3 linked regions of the Arabidopsis thaliana genome follow. The protein of the gene in region 1 interacts with the protein of each later gene in a pairwise test. Each region holds a gene or a part of one and is shown in the gene's direction. Other genes may lie near its edges.

Region 1 (8,218 bases):
CAAAAAGTTGTCAAGAACTGGTAATTTCCTTGTGGATGATTGCTTTTGTTTTTTTCCTGCATTTCTCTATTCAAATTTCTCGTTGCACTTTTTTAAGTCTTGCATTATTTTGGATTTCAGGCAGCTATTCCTTTGTGTTTGTGTTGGTCTTTGGGCTGGACTCATTATTGGTTTCGTCACTGAGTACTACACTAGTAACGCCTACAGGTAAGACTCATTTTAGCTGTATTTAGTCACTAACTTTTCCCAGCTAGTAGAGCTAACTCTTATGTCCTCCTATTCTTGCAGCCCTGTGCAAGATGTTGCAGATTCATGCAGAACTGGTGCAGCTACCAATGTTATCTTCGGCCTTGCTCTTGGTTACAAATCCGTCATTATTCCAATCTTTGCTATTGCTATCAGTATATTCGTTAGCTTCAGCTTTGCTGCTATGTATGGTGTTGCTGTTGCTGCTCTTGGTATGCTCAGTACCATTGCCACTGGTTTGGCAATTGATGCTTATGGTCCCATCAGTGACAATGCTGGTGGTATTGCTGAAATGGCTGGAATGAGCCACCGCATCCGTGAAAGAACTGATGCTCTTGATGCCGCTGGAAACACCACTGCTGCTATTGGAAAGGTATGGAGCCTTCTTAACCTCTTTCTGCAATCCGATGAATTAATAAAAGAGCTTGCTTGCTTGAACCATTCCTCAGGTTGCCTTTGCTTGTGTTGTATTTTGACATGTTATTCTGGTTTGTTGTGTACAGGGATTTGCCATTGGCTCTGCTGCCCTAGTCTCCTTGGCTCTCTTTGGTGCCTTTGTGAGCCGTGCAGGGATCCACACCGTAGATGTTTTGACCCCTAAAGTTATCATTGGGCTCCTTGTTGGTGCCATGCTTCCTTACTGGTTCTCTGCCATGACAATGAAGAGTGTGGGAAGTGCAGCTCTTAAGATGGTTGAAGAAGTTCGCAGGCAGTTCAACACCATCCCTGGACTTATGGAAGGAACCGCAAAACCAGACTACGCCACATGTGTCAAGATCTCCACCGATGCTTCCATCAAGGAAATGATACCTCCTGGTTGCCTTGTCATGCTCACACCTCTCATTGTTGGTTTCTTCTTTGGAGTTGAGACCCTCTCTGGTGTCCTCGCCGGATCTCTTGTATCCGGTGTTCAGGTAAAGTATATTCTCAATTCAATTGTGAATAACTATTCTTAAAAAAAATGCTCATCGATGCTCTCTGTTTATTCTATTCAGATCGCCATATCAGCATCTAACACTGGTGGTGCCTGGGACAACGCCAAGAAATACATCGAGGTAATGGAATTTTCTTGTAGCTTAAATCAAACCATTTGAAAATATGAAGTCAAATCCTTAAGCATTGTTATATATTCGCAGGCTGGTGTATCAGAGCACGCAAAGAGCCTTGGACCAAAGGGTTCAGAGCCACACAAGGCAGCTGTGATTGGAGACACAATTGGAGACCCATTGAAGGATACTTCAGGACCTTCATTGAACATCCTCATCAAGCTCATGGCTGTTGAGTCTCTTGTCTTTGCTCCCTTCTTCGCCACTCACGGTGGTATCCTTTTCAAGTACTTCTAAACTCAATCCGAGGGAAGAAGATGACGATGATGAAGAAGAAGAAGATGATGATGGCGATCGATTCTAAACTTTCTTTTTTACCATTCTTATTTTCGTTTACCGTAGGTGGTTAAAAAACCTTTTTTGTTGATGAGGCTCATTTAAAGAACCAACCAAATGATGTTTCTTTCTCTCACTCTCTGTCTTTCTGTTTTCTTTTTGTTCTGTTTAGAATTTAGAAATCCACCAAGTATTCGGTCGAGACTTGTTTTAGCCGTTACTTTCTGCTGCTTATATTTCCTAAATTGGTTGTCTTCTTCGAGACATAATTGGAATTTATTGTTACTGTTAGTCTTTTGTCGGCGTTAGGTGTAAACGATTCTCAATTTCTCATGATCTGTAAATTCTTTCATGACATTTATTACCACAAACAACAAATGATTTTACACAGCTGTAGTTTCTACCTAAGACTCTCGAAGAGCTTCTGCTCCAGCCACAATCTCCAGCAACTCCCCAGTGATCTTAGCCTGTCTCGCTCGGTTATAAGCCATCGTCAGATTCTTCTTCAATTCAACCGCATTATCAGTCGCATTACTCATCGCATTCATCCTCGACGCAAGCTCACTCGCTAAAGATTCCTGCAGTGCTCTTAGAATCTGACTGTTGAGATACAAAGGCATCATTGCATCAAGAATCTGAACAGGGTCTTGCTCAAACTGCATCAACGGTGAGATCTCAGGCTTCTCAACTTCAAGCTTGGTCCTTTCCACAGCTAACTTCCCATCTTTGCTCGTTAGCCTAAACATCTCATCCTCGATAGCATCAACACACTCACCTTTCACATCACAAGACTCTCCTTTCATCGACAAAGGCAACAGAGTGTGGATCACAGGATCAGATTTCACCAAAGACACAAACTTTGTGTAAACAAGCTCAACTTTATCAACCTCTTCACTGACAAACAAGGAAAACACATCATCTGCAATAACTTGAGCTTCTTTAGTCGTTGGGAAAACACCTCCTCCTTCAATACATTTATCAACATCAAATTCATCTCTCCGACTAAAATAAGCATTCCCTTTCTTACCTACACTTATCACAACACAGTCTATTCCTCTCTGCTTCAACTCTTGAACTCGCAGAGTAGCTTTCTTGGTCACTGCATTGTTGAAACCACCACACAATCCTTTATCGCCAGTAACAACAACCAAAGCAACTCTCTTCACGGGTCTAACAATGCTCAGAGGAAAATCAATGTCTTCTAATTGAGCAGATTGGTTAATTGAGTAGAGAATCTCCACAAGAGTTTCAGTGAAAGGTCTACCCTTTATGACTGCATCTTGAGCTCGACGAACTCTAGCTGCCGCCACGAGTCTCATCGCTTCCGTTATCTTCTGGGTATTCTTCACACTGTCGATTCGTTCTCGTAACTCTCGGATTCCAGCTCGAATTTGAATTGAGGGCAACGGAGATCTCGACGAAATCCGGTTTGGTGTCAGTGATTGAAACGGATAATAACGAACTGGTTTCAAGGTAGCTATGAAAGAGTAGGACTCTGAGCTCGAAGCCGAATTCGAATTCGAAGGAGACGACAAGAGCCAAGAGGTCGAGATCGAACCTGTCATTTTCGTTTGGGAAAGAAGACCCTGAACTTGAGAGGTTTAAGATTTCATCTTCTCGTGAAGAAATGAGCAAAGAAAGAGAACTTGAGGGGTTTTCTGTAATTATCATGTTTATTAGGGGTCAGTATATAAAAATTACTACAAAAGTCAAAATTAGAGTTTTTGTTTTTTTTTTTCTATGAGAAAAACGAGGGAAATATCAATAACCCTCCTAAATCCTAATAAAAATTACTACAAATAGCCAAATTAATAGAAAACCAAAAAACAACAACTATAGTCAGCATATGAAAATTACGAAATTTTCTTTTTAAAGATTCATATATAGGAAGAGATTGAACTTTAAAGTAACAAATCAAAATAAAATTATGGACAAATAAAAACTCTAGTCCTTCAGAAAAAGAAATATTGTAAATGCGGGTTACTAAATACAAATGAATACAAAACAGTACCTACAAATTTCCTTGGAACGACTTTTAATTTTGACCTCAATTTTTTATTTCCATTATGGTCCTTGTGTTGTTGTGTATTTAGCATTTTGTTTTTCTTGGGTCAATCAGCATCACCACGTTTAGGCCACGACATAAAATTGATCCGTTTATTTTTGAGGCTCGCTCGCATCTTCTTCCTCCTTTGGCGCAACCGCTTCTTCCTCTTCTATTCTCACAGATTTCTCTAAGCTCCCAACTTTGGAGCTAAAACTCAATCAACACTACTCACAATGCTACTCCATTTCTCTCCGGCGAAACCCCTCATTTCTCCACCCAATCTCCGCCGCAATTCACCCACATTCCTCATTTCCCCGCCGCGATCTCTTCGAATTCGAGCAATCGACGCCGCCCAAATCTTCGATTACGAAACCCAACTCAAATCCGAGTACCGCAAATCCTCTGCTCTCAAAATCGCCGTCTTGGGTTTCGGCAATTTCGGCCAATTCCTCTCCAAAACCCTAATTCGACACGGCCACGATCTAATCACTCACTCCCGCTCCGATTACTCCGACGCCGCAAACTCAATCGGAGCTCGTTTCTTCGATAACCCTCACGATCTCTGTGAACAACATCCCGACGTTGTCCTCCTCTGTACCTCAATCCTCTCCACAGAATCAGTCCTCAGATCATTCCCTTTCCAACGTCTCCGTCGTAGCACACTCTTCGTCGATGTTCTCTCCGTTAAGGAATTCCCAAAAGCCCTCTTCATTAAATACCTTCCTAAGGAGTTTGACATTCTCTGTACTCATCCAATGTTTGGACCTGAGAGTGGTAAGCATTCTTGGTCTGGCTTGCCCTTTGTCTACGATAAGGTGAGAATCGGAGACGCAGCTTCAAGACAAGAGAGGTGTGAGAAGTTTCTAAGAATTTTTGAGAATGAAGGTTGCAAGATGGTTGAAATGAGCTGTGAGAAGCATGATTATTACGCAGCTGGATCGCAATTCGTGACGCATACTATGGGAAGGGTTTTGGAGAAATATGGAGTTGAGTCTTCGCCGATTAACACCAAAGGTTATGAGACGTTGTTGGATTTGGTGGAGAACACATCGAGTGATAGCTTTGAGCTTTTCTACGGTTTGTTTATGTATAATCCGAATGCTCTTGAACAGTTGGAGAGATTGGATATGGCTTTTGAGTCTGTTAAGAAGGAGCTGTTTGGGAGATTACATCAGCAATACAGGAAGCAAATGTTTGGTGGGGAGGTTCAATCGCCCAAGAAAACTGAGCAGAAATTGCTCAATGATGGTGGTGTTGTTCCTATGAATGATATATCATCATCATCATCATCATCATCATCATCATCTTAAGATCACAAGTTTGATTGGATTATGCTAGATTCAAAAATAAAAAGTTGTGACTTTTTTGGAAAACGTCAAGAGTGGAAAATAAAAAAGGGATTTTGGTGTGTTCATATGTATGTTGGGGTCTCTTTTGGCTTGGTATCAATAAACTTGTCTTTTTTTCTCTAAATGTATCTGTGGAAATGCTTATCCCTCTGGTCGCCGGAAACAAATACGGACAAATTGTCTCCTTCTCCGGCCATATTTGTATTGGATCAACATTGTATTGCTCAAAAGTCATTACTGTTTTTCTCTGTCTCCAATGATCTCGGGTCACCCACCCGATTCGGATCAGGACAACATCGTTTCGTTATGGGCCGATTATATAATGGGCCGCTTGAATGTCTCGTCTTATTTAATTAAAAGAAAAAAACACATTTTAAATTTGAATGATTCACACGTGTGTTGTTGCCACCATAGTTGGTCGGAGCTTTTCCTCTTCCCAAAATTGTAACCCTAACCACGCACCGACGGCGAAAACTGATCGCGGGTTTTCGCATCTTTTACTTGCAAAGTCTTGGAAATGGAAGTGATGGACAAATGGGTAGCTGAATTTTTCCTCCGACGCCAACTAAATCCTAGGGTTTACGCTTTTCCACTGTTATCGGCTCTGAAACCAGTAGATTCCGACGACTGTGTAAAACTCAAGCTAACTGCTGTTTTGCGGGATATCTCCAATTCCATGATTCAAGGTACCGTAGACGAAGGAATGCTTGATCTCCTCGAAATTCTTGAGAAGCTTCTGTTACAGGAACATTCGGTTATCATGGGATCTCTCAAATCTGCGTATTGCTGGACTGCTGTGGAATGCACGCTTAGGTTTATGTGGCCAGTGAATGCTTCGGATGGCTTCTTCGGTGATGCCCTTGAGAGGATTTGGAGGAATCGGATTGGGACATTGAAGGAGAAAGAGAGCGACTTGGTGACTCGTGAGTTGTTGAAATGGGAGAGTGATCTAAACAAGGCGTTTGAGGAACCTGAGATTTACCAGAAGATTCGTGAGACTAACATCAGGTACAATGCCATCTCTCATCTTAATCAGCTTCTCAAAGAGCAGTGGGCACTACTTGGATGTTCTTCTCTTGAATCAGAAGCTCGAAAGAGGTTTCTTAAGCGTAAGGATTCACCATATGCTTCCCGGAGAGGAGGTAATAGAGAGAAAGCTAATGATGTTGAAGAAGTGGGTGGTGTGGAGAATCCTGATGGGGTTGGTAAGGTGAATGAACATGAACAGGAACACGAGCCAAGTCTTAATAAGGGGGAAATGTTGGTAGCTCGAGAGCTTAAGGATTTTTTGTTGGAGATTCAAAGACTCATCGACCCTATAACAAGGCAAGATCAAGAACCTAACAATGCAATGGAGCATTCAGTTGATGTCACTCCTCAGCCTGATGGGGCAAATAGGACTGATGCAGAAGATAGTGAGGGAACATCATCGTCTAGAAGAGTCAGGCCTCATCTACCAACCCCGGAACCTCTGAATGTATCACCGTTGAAGAAAGGAAGATTAGAAAGACCGCGTCCCAGAAGGCCAATGAAATTCTGGACTTCTGAAGAAGTGGCAGCTTTGAGGGAAGGAGTTAAAGAATATGGAAAATCATGGAAAGATATCAAGAATTCATACCCTGTTGTTTTCGCTGATAGGAGCGAGGTGGATTTGAAGGATAAGTGGAGGAATTTACTTGGTCGTCAGTAGTAGGAATCTTACCTTCTAACTTATGGGCATTTTGGTTTTGGGATCTTGTGTAGTTTTGCCGCTTGTGTTAGAAAGGGACTCACTTTTTGTACGGTGAAGGCTTTAATATGTTCTTGATTCAGGCTCTTGTAGTTAGTGTCAAGCTTTAGACGATATTTCTTGTTCAAAAATCTATTGACCAGTTGATTACAAAATGGAATGATTTTAAATATTTGGTCCTATAATCAAATCAAGCAAGCTCTGAAACCCATCTCTAACTCCTCCCGGTTCAAATTCTTGCCGATGAAAACAATCTTGTTGGTTCTTGTTTCATCTTTTCTCCATAACCGGTCAGGTGATCCTTCAAATATTTCATGAACTCCCTGTTCCAACCATTATAAACCACAAACGTCAGAGATAATTTACATCCCAAGGCTTCGATGCTTTAGAATTCATCCGAAATGATCAAAATAATGACAAAGGTTGGTCACCTGAAACACGAATCTCTCGTCCATGTCTTGTACGGAGAGGATACCTTTCATTCTGTAGATATCCTCACTACGTTGGTACAATAGCGCCCCAAGCCACATGTTAGCCTGATCCATTTTCAAAACTAAGGTTATAGATGATGCAAGTAATCAATCGCACATCTCAACAATCGTTTTAATTATAAGTAACACGTCAGGTGCTACAGTTTTATGCATCACATGTGACACAACTTGAGCCATATTGGGTTAATACCTTCTCGAGGTCTAAGTCTCCTTCGCAAACTATACTGACTGAACCAACACCAGGGTCATGGGTGTGATCATGAGAATGGTGATGCTCTGCAGTTTCAGAAGCAAACTAATCAATGCATGTAGGCGATCGTTATTAAGTAATAAGGCCATTATTTGGTAACACTATAACATACCGTGTTCATGCTCATGCTCATGCTCATTGTGGTGATCATGGCAGTCATGACCATGGTGATGATCATCATGACCCTCGCGATCTTCTTTCTCTTCTTCATTCACAGAGCTTTCAATTCTGGAAAGATAAAATAGTTGGCCACCAGCAATAAATCAGAGTAACAAAATCAGCCCTCTTAAACCAGGAAATCCACAACCAATAAACCATAACAAATGTAAGGAGCTACAATTCACTTTGGACAGAAGTTTTCGGAGTGACTCGTAATAAGATTTTTAGTAAGACGTAAAATAAAACCGGACCTTTCTAGATCAAACCCTCCAATTCCAAGAACATAATCCAAGTCAACCTTCCCATACTTTGTCCGCTTCATGTGAGCCATGCTGTTTATGGTCTGGAAATAACCACATCATAAATGCTAACGCAGTGCACAGAGAAAAATAGATGTTCAAAGAGAAAAAAGAAAGAATCAGAAGAAGCAGAACCTACCTTTATCCGCTGCATCACTGAAGCTAGTTCTGGCTCACCAACAAGATCAGTCTACAACAAAGTACAAACAATTTTCAGCTTGTATGATATGTCGAGGAGAACATACATAGCAGACCATTGAAAAGCT
Region 2 (6,145 bases), on another chromosome or scaffold:
CTCTTCCCCTGACATGGCTCGCGAGGTTCTCAAAACCCACGACATCACTTTCGCCAACCACGATCTCCCTGAAGTCGGAAAGATCAACACTTACGGTGGTGAAGACATCCTCTGGTCTCCTTACGGTACCCATTGGAGGAGACTTCGTAAGCTCTGCGTCATGAAGATGTTCACTACCCCAAGTCTCGAAGCTTCCTACTCCACTCGCCGGGAAGAAACCCGACAAACCATTGTCCACATGTCGGAAATGGCTCGTGAAGGATCACCAGTCAACCTCGGAGAGCAAATATTTCTTTCCATTTTCAACGTCGTGACAAGAATGATGTGGGGCGCCACTGTTGAAGGAGACGAGAGAACGAGCTTAGGAAACGAGCTCAAAACCCTAATATCTGATATCTCCGACATAGAAGGGATTCAAAACTACTCAGATTTCTTTCCGTTGTTCTCAAGATTCGATTTCCAAGGATTGGTTAAGCAGATGAAAGGCCATGTGAAGAAGCTTGATCTCTTGTTCGATAGAGTTATGGAGAGTCACGTCAAAATGGTGGGAAAGAAGAGCGAAGAAGAAGAAGATTTCTTGCAATACTTACTTAGAGTTAAAGATGATGATGAGAAAGCTCCTCTGTCCATGACTCATGTCAAGTCTCTCCTCATGGATATGGTTCTTGGTGGTGTCGACACATCGGTTAACGCATCCGAATTCGCCATGGCAGAGATTGTGAGCAGACCGGAAGTGTTAAACAAGATCCGACTAGAACTTGACCAAGTTGTTGGCAAAGACAACATCGTTGAGGAATCACATTTACCTAAGCTTCCTTACCTACAAGCGGTTATGAAAGAGACTCTTAGGCTTCACCCTACGCTTCCTCTTCTTGTTCCTCACAGAAACAGCGAAACCTCGGTGGTTGCGGGATACACTGTGCCTAAAGACTCCAAGATTTTCATCAACGTTTGGGCGATTCATAGAGATCCTAAGAATTGGGATGAACCAAACGAGTTCAAACCTGAGAGGTTTTTGGAGAATTCGCTTGATTTCAATGGAGGTGATTTTAAGTATTTGCCTTTTGGGTCAGGAAGGAGGATTTGTGCGGCGATAAACATGGCTGAGAGACTTGTTCTGTTCAACATTGCTTCACTTCTTCACTCTTTTGATTGGAAAGCTCCTCAAGGACAGAAGTTTGAGGTTGAAGAGAAGTTTGGTCTTGTTCTTAAGTTGAAGTCTCCACTTGTGGCTATTCCTGTTCCAAGGTTGTCCGATCCAAAACTCTACACAGCTTAAGTAAGAAGGATGTTGAATTGAGTTTTCTTGTTTAAAGTTTACTTTTCTTTATCTGTGTCTGGAGTTTTGATGCTTTGTATAAAAGATGTGTCAAGTTACATTTTTGATAACATTTAATATAACAAAGTTTTACTTACAATAATAACGCCTAATAGTCGATGCCAAAGCTATAAAACTATATTGTAGTTATATTTTTGGCAAGTCGATTAAAATTCTTGGGTCAACAAATTACAAATTAGTATGAAGGTTACAAATTAAAATTGTAATTATTTAAATTAATTAATGTATAATTATATCACAAATACTTCACGTCACACTAAATGAGTCCTTCTTAGCGGCAAAATATGCGTTATTGGGCTAGGCCCATTTATAAACGACGCCGTTTACACAGTCTAGAAACTCAACATCGTCGTTTCTCTCCCGGCGACTTTATCGCCGTCTTTTTCTTCTTTAAACTCTCTGGCTAATTTCGTTTTGCTTTGAGCTTGTGAGCTACTTCTGATTCCGGCCATCACGCAGCTTCAGGTTAGTTTTTGATTTAAATCAAACAACAGTACATGGGTTCAGTGTGTTGTGTCTCGAATGGAATTGGTTTCTGTGTTTAGATTAGGGTTTAGGGCTCTTTCATCTAAGGAAACGAAACCTAGGTTATACGAATCTCTTTGTTGGGTCTCTCTCAATACCAATACCAATCAACGAAAGGATTAATTTTGTTCATCATCTTCAACGTCTAAGGCTATAATTTGTGTTAGTTCAAATTGATTCAGAATAAAGTTTGGATTTTTACTTCACCTAGTCCTGAATTTGTTGTTCTCTGTGTAGAAAGTTTCTGTTTTTAAATCAAAGAAATGAAGAAGAAGATGATAGCCATTGGTTTCGAAGGATCAGCTAACAAGATTGGAGTTGGAATTGTGACTTTAGACGGTACTATCTTAGCAAATCCTCGGCATACGTATATAACACCACCTGGTCATGGTTTTCTTCCTAGAGAGACTGCACATCACCATCTTGACCATGTTCTTCCTTTAGTCAAATCAGCTTTAGAGACTTCTCAAGTTACTCCTGAAGAAATCGACTGTATTTGTTATACGAAAGGTCCCGGGATGGGAGCGCCGTTGCAGGTTTCAGCCATTGTTGTTAGAGTATTGTCACAGCTTTGGAAAAAGCCAATTGTTGCTGTGAATCATTGTGTGGCTCACATTGAGATGGGGAGAGTAGTTACTGGAGCTGATGATCCTGTTGTGTTGTATGTGAGTGGTGGTAACACTCAGGTGATTGCTTATAGTGAAGGTAGGTACCGGATTTTTGGTGAGACTATTGATATTGCTGTTGGTAATTGTTTGGATCGGTTTGCTAGAGTCTTGAAGCTTTCTAATGATCCAAGCCCTGGTTATAACATTGAACAGGTAGATTTCATTTGAAAGTAAAGTAAATTTGAATTCTTGAAAGATTCAAGAACAATGTTAACACGGTTTTTGGTGTTGTTACTAGCTTGCTAAGAAAGGAGAAAACTTTATTGATCTTCCGTATGCTGTTAAAGGTATGGATGTATCGTTCAGCGGAATCTTGAGTTATATCGAAACTACTGCAGAGGAGAAGCTCAAGAATAACGAGTGTACACCAGCAGACTTGTGTTATTCCCTTCAAGTAAGGCTATCACTTGGTTCTTAACTGATGAATTTTGTCACATGAATGCAAATTTTGGACTGTTTAAGAGTAATATCATGAATTCATGTTTGTTGATCTTGCAGGAGACGGTGTTTGCGATGTTGGTTGAGATCACAGAAAGAGCGATGGCGCATTGTGACAAGAAAGACGTTTTGATAGTTGGCGGTGTTGGGTGTAACGAGCGTTTGCAGGAAATGATGAGGACTATGTGCTCAGAACGTGATGGTAAGCTGTTTGCAACAGATGACCGTTACTGCATCGATAATGGAGCTATGATCGCTTACACAGGTCTACTCGCGTTTGTTAATGGTATTGAAACACCGATCGAAGACTCTACCTTTACACAACGATTTCGCACAGACGAGGTTCATGCGGTGTGGCGAGAGAAAGAAGCTGTACTACTTGGGGATAAGAAAGTTGCAGCGAATTGAGTCTGTCCCCATTTTTGTTCATTTTTCATCAAATTTGAGATTGAATCTCTCTCTACTCGATAAATTGGTTTTTGCTAAGTAGTTAAGACTTTTAAATGTGTTTTATTAGCCAAATTATATGATTGATATCTTTTGGTTTGAATGTAATAACACTTTCAAATTTCAAAGTGAGCTTTGTAAAAAGTTCAAATGTTTCTTGTGTTGCATTTCGCTATTTGTTTTATTGCTTTAATAAAAATATGATATCTCAAAGTCGACATTTCTACCGAGAATGGTGGAGAGATTAGTGCATTAGTCTTCCTTAATCATACAAAAACAACTGTGAAAATACAGCACTACTAAAAAGTAAAAAGTAAGAACTTTTTAATGTAGAACGTATGAGATGGTTCAATTAATCACAAGACACTTCTATGGCATTGCGTATTAAACGAAAAGTGAGTAAATAGAATTTATACATAATGATCTAATCTTGATCTTGCTAATAAAAATTGTAAAGGCAACAACAAGTTGTCAAAAATTTCAATTTGACGTAGAGATAAATTCTATCTAATAATTTTGTAAAAACATTCGAGATATAGTGTATCATTTTTCCATCATCTAGAACTCATTTGCGTATTTTCAAGTGTAAATCAGAACCTTGACACATAGGCTACACAAATTTTGGTCGATATTTATATTACTTTTGTAGCATAATGTGGATATCCTTCTAGAGACTAGAGTTCTAGATAAAACATTCATACATGTAACTATGTAAGTAAGCATGCATACTAAATATAAAATTTTCAAAAGTTTTAAAAGACATCATATAGATTCAAAAAGACGTGGGAAAAAGGAGAAAATGACAAAAGTTATTAGTAAAACAATCAAGTAAAAGGTCAAAGTAGTTAACGAAAAGATAAAAGTATTTCAAAAGTCTTCCTTCCATCTTGAAATGCCAAAAAATAAAAGACGAATGATTGAAGATAAATCAAAGTTGTCTGATTGCTATTGTATACATCTTTTTTTTTGTTAAAACTATTGTATACATCTAAAAAACCTTGAAGTAATCAAGATCTGAATTATAGCCGTTGATAAGGTTTTATGCTTTCACATTGAACTCGATCGTCGTCGTCAAATCTACTAGTCTCGTTTTTTAGTTTTAACGTGCTTAATTACTTCACTAATTTGTTTTTTGTTATCATTTTCACCAATTTTATTCATTGTGTGAATTAAGTTTTGTCCACATAGTAAGATTCATCAGTATAATAGGACATATGATAAAAGTTTGTATATAATCAAAGAGTATATCTAAGAATATCTAATTAAGATGAATGTTTCAGTCCACATTGGATTCTGCTTATAGTCAAACTGTCTTGTTCTTAAACCCAATTAGGTTAGAATACATGTACCAACAAATAGCATTTCTATAACTAATCTTTTATCAATTTACTTTATAGCCTACAAATAATTAGAGGAAAAGAAAAGAGAGTTAGTGGAATAATTGTCCTCTAAATCTCGATATCATCATTAACTAAATACTATATTTAGACCATATATACTATATTTTATAGTATACTATATTTTATAGTATATATAATCAACTAATCATATTAGACCACTATTAGAAATATGGATCTAAAAAAAACATTCTTTAATCAGTACTATTCTCATCCAAAGACTTGTTTTAAGAGACTAAATATGAATATGTGTATGTGTATGTGTATGCAGGAGTAGACACGTGCACGTGGCACATGCAGGGAATGGGAAGGTGGAGTGTTGACAAAGAAGAAGAGGATGATCCAAGTTTCGAAATGATTCCAAAAGTTATGAACTATAAGCCAAAGTGCTCAATCGCCAAACATGAACTTAAATAAACTTCACTCGTTAGATCGTTTTCTCACATTAAAGCCGCTCTACACTTTTACCCATTTTACCATTTATAATAACCACCACACATAGATATTAAGTTCTATGGATTTTATTCGTAAACTTAAGTTATGATCAAATAGCTAAATGATTTTGCGATTTGCCCGAGTTCTGTTTGTTTCTAAAATGGTTATCCAAAAAGCATATTTTTGTTTTATATAGAATTTGTGATATAGAAGAAATATACTAAAAATGTTTTAAAGTCTGTCTAAATCATAAACCAATGCAAAGAAAGTGAAATAAACCAAGATCTCGAGCAATAGACATAATAAATAAACAAACACCTAATAACATCACATCCCCACTAACAAATGTGAACATTAACTGTTAAAAATCACCAAAAAAGTCATCAAGATTTGGCTTTCCTTTTCAAAAGCAGTATACGTCTCTGTCTCACACAGACAGTGTATTCAATGCGTTGTGTTGTCTTCCCACTTTTCACCAGCTGAGGTTCTGCTTCTTTCTCTTCTTCTCTCCAAAACAAGAAAATTCTGCAGAATAACTTTTCATTCACGAGAGTGGAAGGTTACAGTTTTCCAAATCCGAGAAACAGACACAAAATTGGTCCCTCTCTAAAAGTTACTATCTTCGTTTAACAAAGAGATAGCTCCCAATCCAGTACAAAACAGAGTACTCTGCTCTATAAATTTCGTTCCTTTATTACTCTGCTCTATAAAACAGATTATTCTGCTCTATAAGAGAGATAGATAAATGAGCTAAAGCTCAGTAATTTCTAAACAGAGAGACAAGAAAATTCAAGAATGGTTACCTTATGTGCCACGTTACTGATCCTTCTCTCAATCTTTCTTGCAACTCCGTCGAATGTTCGAGGAAATGCAGAGCTGAAGGCTTTAATGGAGCT
Region 3 (6,691 bases), about 19 Mb from region 1:
CATCTTTTGTAATGGCATGTTTTCCATCAATGTGTGTGAACATTGAAAACATAAACTGTTGAATATCTAAGGTCATCTCCATTGGTAAGAAACCTTCAAAGTTTCTCAAAAAAAAAAATTACTAATATTTTATTATGACTTAATTTTGTAATTAATATATTCTTTTCTTTTTTTCAGTTGTCTAATTACTTCAAAATTTCTCTGCACAGAAACGTTTCTGTAATTATGTTATTCTCTCTCCTCCTTTATGAATTGTTTATATTATATTAGTGAAAAGCAACTCTCAAAATTGTAACCGATGGAGATGATCTAACCTATTTACCAAAAACAATTCAGACAAAATTTATTTTCGGTTTAGTCGTTTTTTTTCGTTTTCTTAATTTCAAAATAATTTACTGGGAAAAGAAAAAATCATCATTACGCTCATGTGAAAAAAGATCGTTCATTGTATGGGTTTTGGAAGTTAGAAAAGTAAGCAAGCAACTTATACCCTATTGGCCATTATATCTACCGAGAAACAACAAGCTCTTTAATTTATAAATTCGTGTAGTTGCCTTAAACAAACCCCAAGCTTTCATTACACACCACAACCAAAATCGTAGTTTGAAGATTCTGATATGTCAAAGAAGCATCTCAAGCCGTTGGAGACATGTTTTGAAGATGAAGAAGATGATGTTATTTATCTTCCTCCAGGTCTTGTGACCGGTGCAACTTCCAAGAAGAATGAGGAGTTTTGTGGCGGCTCCGGCAAGGTACAACCGTCTGAGATGAAGCGTCGGAGTGAAGGGACCTCAACGGACATGACTTCGAAGAGAGCCAAGAAGGTTTCAGCAGAAGATGAGAAGAAAGTTGGAGAATGGACAAAAAACCCATATTTTCAAAGACTGTGGAGTGAGGAAGATGAGATTGTTATGCTACAAGGAATTATTAAATTTGAAGATGTTACAGGGAAAAGTCCGTTTGAGGATAGACACGGGTTTATAGAATTCGTCAAGAACTCCATTAGCTTCGAGGCTAGTGTGCAACAATACATTGGCAAGATTAGCCAATTGAAGAGGAAATATACGAGGAAAAGGAAGAACGGTTTTTCTGAAGGTCATGAACAGAAATGTTTCAAACTGGCCATGTCTATTTGGGGAACTAAAGAAACGTCTAAGAAGACGGACTTGTGCTCTTCACCTAAAGGTAAAAAAGTTAAAGAAGAAGATGGAGATGTGACAAACTCTGATTGGTTTGAGAATTCGTTTCTACTTCCATCAATTGAGAGTCTTGGTGTGGATTCGGTTAAACGTAAATGGAATGTTGTGCCTATGGAGTTTAAGAAGAAAATTGAAGAGAGGTTGGAGTTGTTGGAGGCTGATGAAAGTGAATGCAAGAAAATGGAAGAGATGTTGAAGGTTAAAAATAGCGAATGCGTGAAACAAAAGACTAACCTTTTGAATGAGGTGATCGATGTGATGACTTGAGATTTTAGATATGAAGTTTAATGTTTTCTAGTGGTTTATCTTATGACTCTTTTATGTTGGATTATTTCTTTATATATCTTAGCATAAAAAAAGTTCATTTTGGTAGAAAACAGAGAAAAAAGGATTAATTAGTAATTACGCAATCTAATCAAATTTTAAAACTTGTGATTATGTTAATAGCGCTATAATTAAAAACTCTGATCCGTTTAAAATGAAAATGACTTTTCAGATTTCCTTTGGTTGCTCCGCTACTTCTCACTGTCGCTCTCTCAGCTTCCTCTCTCACAATCATAAAATAAAAAACAAAAAGTAGCTTCTCCAAGACGCGGTTCCCAATATCTGCGTTTCCCGTTTGCGTTTTCCGGCAATGGCTCTCCAAGCCACTACTACTACGTTCTGCTTCTCCGGTCCAACTTTCCGATCAACTCCTCACTCACTCACTTCAAAACGTCCTATCTCCATCAAAGCTACTACTTCTTCTCCTTCAAGACTCTCCAATTCACGATCTAATCTCAAAGGTTAAATCTCAAATAATTTCTCCATCACATTTTGGTTTTCTTTACCATAAATTCTCATAAAATGTTGAAATTGCAGAATATGCTTGGTTTATGCATTAATCTTATAGAATTTGTATTTTTGTATATTATATAGTCTTTGTACATGAAATTGTATATAGTTGTTGAGAAAGAGAATTTTGCTTTGTACTGATTCATACAATTTGTGTTCTGTTTTTAAAGGAAGAGCATTGTCTAGTGATGGTTCAACACAAGAATCTCCTTATGTAGTCTGTTTTGGAGAAATGCTAATCGATTTTGTACCGACGACAAGCGGACTTTCATTAGCCGATGCACCGGCTTTTAAAAAAGCTCCAGGTGGTGCACCTGCTAATGTAGCTGTTGGTATTGCTCGTCTTGGTGGTTCTTCAGCTTTCATTGGAAAGGTGAATGGCAAAAACTTGGTCTTCTTGTTTTTTAGATTGTAACATTTTGAAACTTTGATTCTATGGTGTGTATAGGTTGGTGAAGATGAGTTTGGTTATATGCTTGCGAATATTTTGAAAGATAATAATGTGAACAATGATGGTATGAGGTTTGATCCAGGAGCAAGAACTGCTTTAGCTTTTGTGACTTTGACTAATGAAGGTGAAAGAGAGTTTATGTTTTACCGAAACCCGAGTGCTGATATGTTGTTAGAGGAGTCTGAGCTTGATTTTGATTTGATCAAAAAGGTAAGCTTTGAAGTTTTATACACTGCAAAACATGTAGCAACCACTTCAAAATGTTAACCGATCTTTTGTCAGGCAAAGATATTTCATTACGGTTCGATAAGTCTTATCACCGAACCGTGCAAGTCTGCGCATATTTCTGCAGCTAAGGCGGCTAAGGAGGCTGGTGTTATACTCTCTTATGACCCTAACCTTAGGCTTCCGTTGTGGCCTTCTGCAGACAATGCTAGGGAAGAGATTCTGAGCATTTGGGAGACTGCTGATATTATAAAGGTTTATTTTTTCTATATATGTATGGTTACATTTGCGTATATTATCTTTCACTTTTGTTCTTGACCTGAAACTTGTTGTCTCTGTTTGATAAAATGTTCAAGATAAGTGAAGAGGAGATTGTCTTTCTAACGAAAGGAGAAGATCCGTATGATGATAATGTTGTACGCAAGTTGTTTCATCCTAAGCTGAAACTTCTCCTTGTCACTGAAGGTCCTGAAGGCTGTCGGTACTACACCAAGGTGTGAAAAGTTCCTCTCTACCTTTTGGTTTTGATACACTTGTCCAACTTAAAGCGGATTATGATGAGAACTACGTATCCTTTCTCTTCTTACTCAAGGTTTAACGGCGGTTTTTTTTACCGCAATGTGAGGTCATAATACTTAAAAACTTTGTTCCACTTTACAGGATTTTAGTGGGAGAGTGCATGGATTGAAGGTGGATGTAGTGGACACAACAGGTGCTGGTGATGCATTTGTTGCGGGGATACTATCGCAACTAGCCAATGATCTCTCCTTGCTTCAGGTAACCTTTCATTTGTCATTTTAAACTCGATGTAGGCATGTAGCAGTTTATAGCTATGGTGAGTTTGGTGAGAAAGCAGTTAGTGAGGGCTAGGTTTATAAGGCTTTCTCGGCAGATCGTAGTATAGCAGTTTCTTAGCTTTGTTCTTATCATATGTTCATGACAACAAAAGCATATAGCTGAAAAAACTGAGTTGTTTGACTCAGGACGAAGAGCGACTGAGAGAGGCTCTTATGTTTGCGAATGCATGCGGGGCATTAACCGTTAAAGTGAGAGGCGCAATCCCGGCCCTTCCAACCAAAGAAGCTGTACATGAGGCTCTACTCAAAGCCGTCGTTTAACATTCAATAACATCACCAATATGAGAAACAGTTTGTACGCCAGCAGATTTCGCAAGTCTGCATTTTGTTGTTGTAAAATTGTTGTATAATGTACTTACCAATGTTTGTATTCTAGTAGCTGTAGAGCTTTAAGCCTTTGAATATATTGTTGAGCCAAGAACTAGAATCCATCTTTTGATCTTTGTAACTCTCAGTTTGAATTAGAGAGATCTTGAAAAAATGAAGAACTATAGCCTAAGTGTATTGTTAGGAGAAACAAATAGAAGATGCAAACAAATGAACAATATCTCCTGGATTATGAATGGTACTGATTTAGTCCAATGCCATTTAATATGTTTGGTTAAACTAAACTTTCAATGATTTGGTAATGTCAAACAGAGAAATCTATGGTCAGAGTATTCAAACTTAAGTAACTCTTCATGTCATATTAATTATAGAAGTATCCCATCCTAATGCACAAAACCACGTTGTTATTGACGAATTTGAAATGTATGCTTGATTTTCTAGTCTCCGGTAACTTCATTTTTCTAAAGTACAACGAATAGGAGCATTTTCTATAAGTACAACTCAAAACTGGCCAAAGGGAATCGAAGAAGAGGAAAGGCAATAATGAAGAAAACACAATTAGCTTCTCTTCTAAGTTTGCTTCTTATTTGATTAACACCAGAGATCGACATAAAAGTTAAACTTTGATATGCAACAATTAGTAGTAATTTTTAAACTTGTCTTAGGAAAGTACTTACTGGACTCGGCCCACTTTGATATTTCATTTTTGAACTCGAACGGGCATCCGAATGCGCAGACCTAATCTTTTCGGTAAACATGACTATTTTGCGAATCTCAGCAAAGTTGTTACTAAAAGCTTATTTTATTTTTGTTGTTACACCACGGCATCAAAAGTCAAAGCTGATTTTTCAATGGATTCGTTTTGTTTGTGAAGAAAATATGCAAGTTGCATAGGTCGACCCCTCATAAACATAATTCTAAGCTCAAATTATTCATTTGTAAAATCATATTATATATGTAAATATGATTTGTTAGTGCTAATCGATCATTGTCTTTGCGTTTGGACGAAGTCGACATGTCCTTTGTAATATTGTATTGCTTTAGTTATTTTCAACTATACATATAATAAGTGACGATCCGCAAGTTATGGGGTGTAATACAGAAACCAAAGGTAAAATTATAATGAAAGGGGTAGTGGCTTAGTGGTAGTAGAAGAGAGTTGATTTTCTTGTGATATCCCCGGGTATACAGAGGAAGATTCTGGCCTAAACCCGCGATTTAACCAACAAAAAAAAGAAGGTAGAAATATTTATGGGAACAAAAACATACATATGTGAAGAAAACTATAGGTTTAATGTTCACTAGTCCATCGAACATGGTTTGGCCTAAATAAAATAGATCATTCGATAGTTTTGCGTTAGAAGAAAATGTGAAAGTCCCATAGGCCGACCTTTGCCCCATCAACTAAATCATGAGGCTACTTTTTAATGTGAAGAAACTCGAATGCTAATTGTAATATTTTAGACTTTTAGTACTGTATATGAGTGTATGATCTATATTTTGCCTAGAGTTCCGTTGAGACATCGAATATCTAAATATAATTATTACATACTTTGTTTTCGGACAGCCGGTGTATGCTTGTCTTTGTTTAAATTATTGGCACATACATTATTTTATTATTGGTGTATAGAAGAGTACCAAGTTTTTGATACTCGATATTCAAAATCTCTCATACCATTCATCATTATTCAAAATCTCTAGTAAAAAAAAAATGGATTCGGAGTCGGAGCTCATATCGATCATTTCTCAAATCTTAGCTCTCACTAGATCTCACGTTGAGGAGGAGGAGGAGGCTGAGGCAGAGTCAAAGTTCTTATTATTCATTACTCGAATAATTTCTATAGTTAGCTCTCTTAACTTGAATGTGCAGCCAGAGCCCGGGGTCATATCGCTCATTTCTCAAATGATCTCGCTAAGCAGCTCTATATCAGACTCCAAGCCGGAGTTGGAGCTCATATCACTTGTGAATCATATGATCTCTCTCGTCAACTCTATAGATTCGGAACCGGAGCCGGATCCAGACCTCATGTCACTCATTACTCAAATATTCTCTCATCTCGACTTTATGGATTCAGATTTGGAGCTCAAGTCACTCTTTACTCAAATAGTCTCTCTCGTTAGTTCTATGGAGTCTGATTCAGAGCCGGAGCCGGAACGGGAGACGAAGCAGCCAATATGCTTGGCCCCTCAATTTAAACTAGAATTATCAAACGGGAAAAATCTTGTGACGGGATTTGTCAAGCGTGATGGTAGAAAATATGACCCCGAGTACTGTAACCCCGAGTACTGGAGGGTACTAAGGTTAACAACAGGCGAAATTTCTCATTTTCTCTGCCCAAGTTGCGAAGGTGATAATCATGAAGAATATGAGAAGGCTCCACTTGAGGTCAAACACCCTCTTCATCCAAAACATTCTCTTCAGCTTATCTTGGAAAACTCGTGGGGATGTCGAAAAAAGAAATGCTATTGTTGTGATGAAATACTCCTATGGATATTTTATTACTGTTGGGTTTGCGATTGTGGTATGAACATAGCTTGTGTGGAGAAACTACCGCTCTTATCAATACACCATCCGAAGTGGCATGAACATACACTTTCTCTGTTTCCAATACTCATATCCTTAACTTGCAACGTATGTGCCTTGGACCATTTCAACTGTCCTTTCTATATATGTTCCCCATGTGACTTTGTGGTTCATCAAAGTTGTATCACCTTACCACGTGTTATAAGGATATCTCGCCATCTCCACCGTATTTCCTTTACCCCTTCATTTGAACAAGGAGATTGGTCTTGTGGTG

Evidence for each region.
Region 2: the proteins of AT1G15710 (region 1) and AT4G22720 interact in a two-hybrid assay, tested with the Arabidopsis thaliana proteins (one large-scale study listed by BioGRID).
Region 3: the proteins of AT1G15710 (region 1) and AT1G66430 interact in a two-hybrid assay, tested with the Arabidopsis thaliana proteins (one large-scale study listed by BioGRID).

What each region holds. Positions count from the first base shown.
Region 1 is NC_003070.9:5,400,597-5,408,814, forward strand, and holds AT1G15710 (prephenate dehydrogenase family protein), read left to right. Parts: upstream 1-3,533; 5' UTR 3,534-3,908; coding exon 3,909-4,985; 3' UTR 4,986-5,314; downstream 5,315-8,218. Other genes in the region: AVP1 (Inorganic H pyrophosphatase family protein), read left to right, coding at 1-20, 121-207, 289-619, 750-1,160, 1,242-1,301, 1,383-1,589; ATPC2 (ATPase, F1 complex, gamma subunit protein), read right to left, coding at 2,033-3,193; TRFL5 (TRF-like 5), read left to right, coding at 5,542-6,714; AT1G15730 (Cobalamin biosynthesis CobW-like protein), read right to left, coding at 6,939-7,076, 7,185-7,289, 7,435-7,520, 7,607-7,722, 7,905-7,996, 8,092-8,142. UniProt on the Arabidopsis thaliana protein: Involved in the biosynthesis of tyrosine. Has a weak prephenate dehydrogenase activity.
Region 2 is NC_003075.7:11,935,340-11,941,484, forward strand, and holds AT4G22720 (Actin-like ATPase superfamily protein), read left to right. Parts: upstream 1-1,602; 5' UTR 1,603-1,804; intron 1,805-2,101; 5' UTR 2,102-2,127; coding exon 2,128-2,685; intron 2,686-2,770; coding exon 2,771-2,926; intron 2,927-3,030; coding exon 3,031-3,378; 3' UTR 3,379-3,630; downstream 3,631-6,145. Other genes in the region: CYP706A2 (cytochrome P450, family 706, subfamily A, polypeptide 2), read left to right, coding at 1-1,279; AT4G22730 (Leucine-rich repeat protein kinase family protein), read left to right, coding at 6,045-6,145.
Region 3 is NC_003070.9:24,776,567-24,783,257, forward strand, and holds AT1G66430 (pfkB-like carbohydrate kinase family protein), read left to right. Parts: upstream 1-1,690; 5' UTR 1,691-1,833; coding exon 1,834-1,984; intron 1,985-2,203; coding exon 2,204-2,406; intron 2,407-2,481; coding exon 2,482-2,694; intron 2,695-2,766; coding exon 2,767-2,964; intron 2,965-3,065; coding exon 3,066-3,203; intron 3,204-3,369; coding exon 3,370-3,486; intron 3,487-3,692; coding exon 3,693-3,827; 3' UTR 3,828-4,176; downstream 4,177-6,691. Other genes in the region: AT1G66420 (DNA-binding storekeeper protein-related transcriptional regulator), read left to right, coding at 618-1,466; AT1G66440 (Cysteine/Histidine-rich C1 domain family protein), read left to right, coding at 5,605-6,691. UniProt on the Arabidopsis thaliana protein: May play an important role in maintaining the flux of carbon towards starch formation.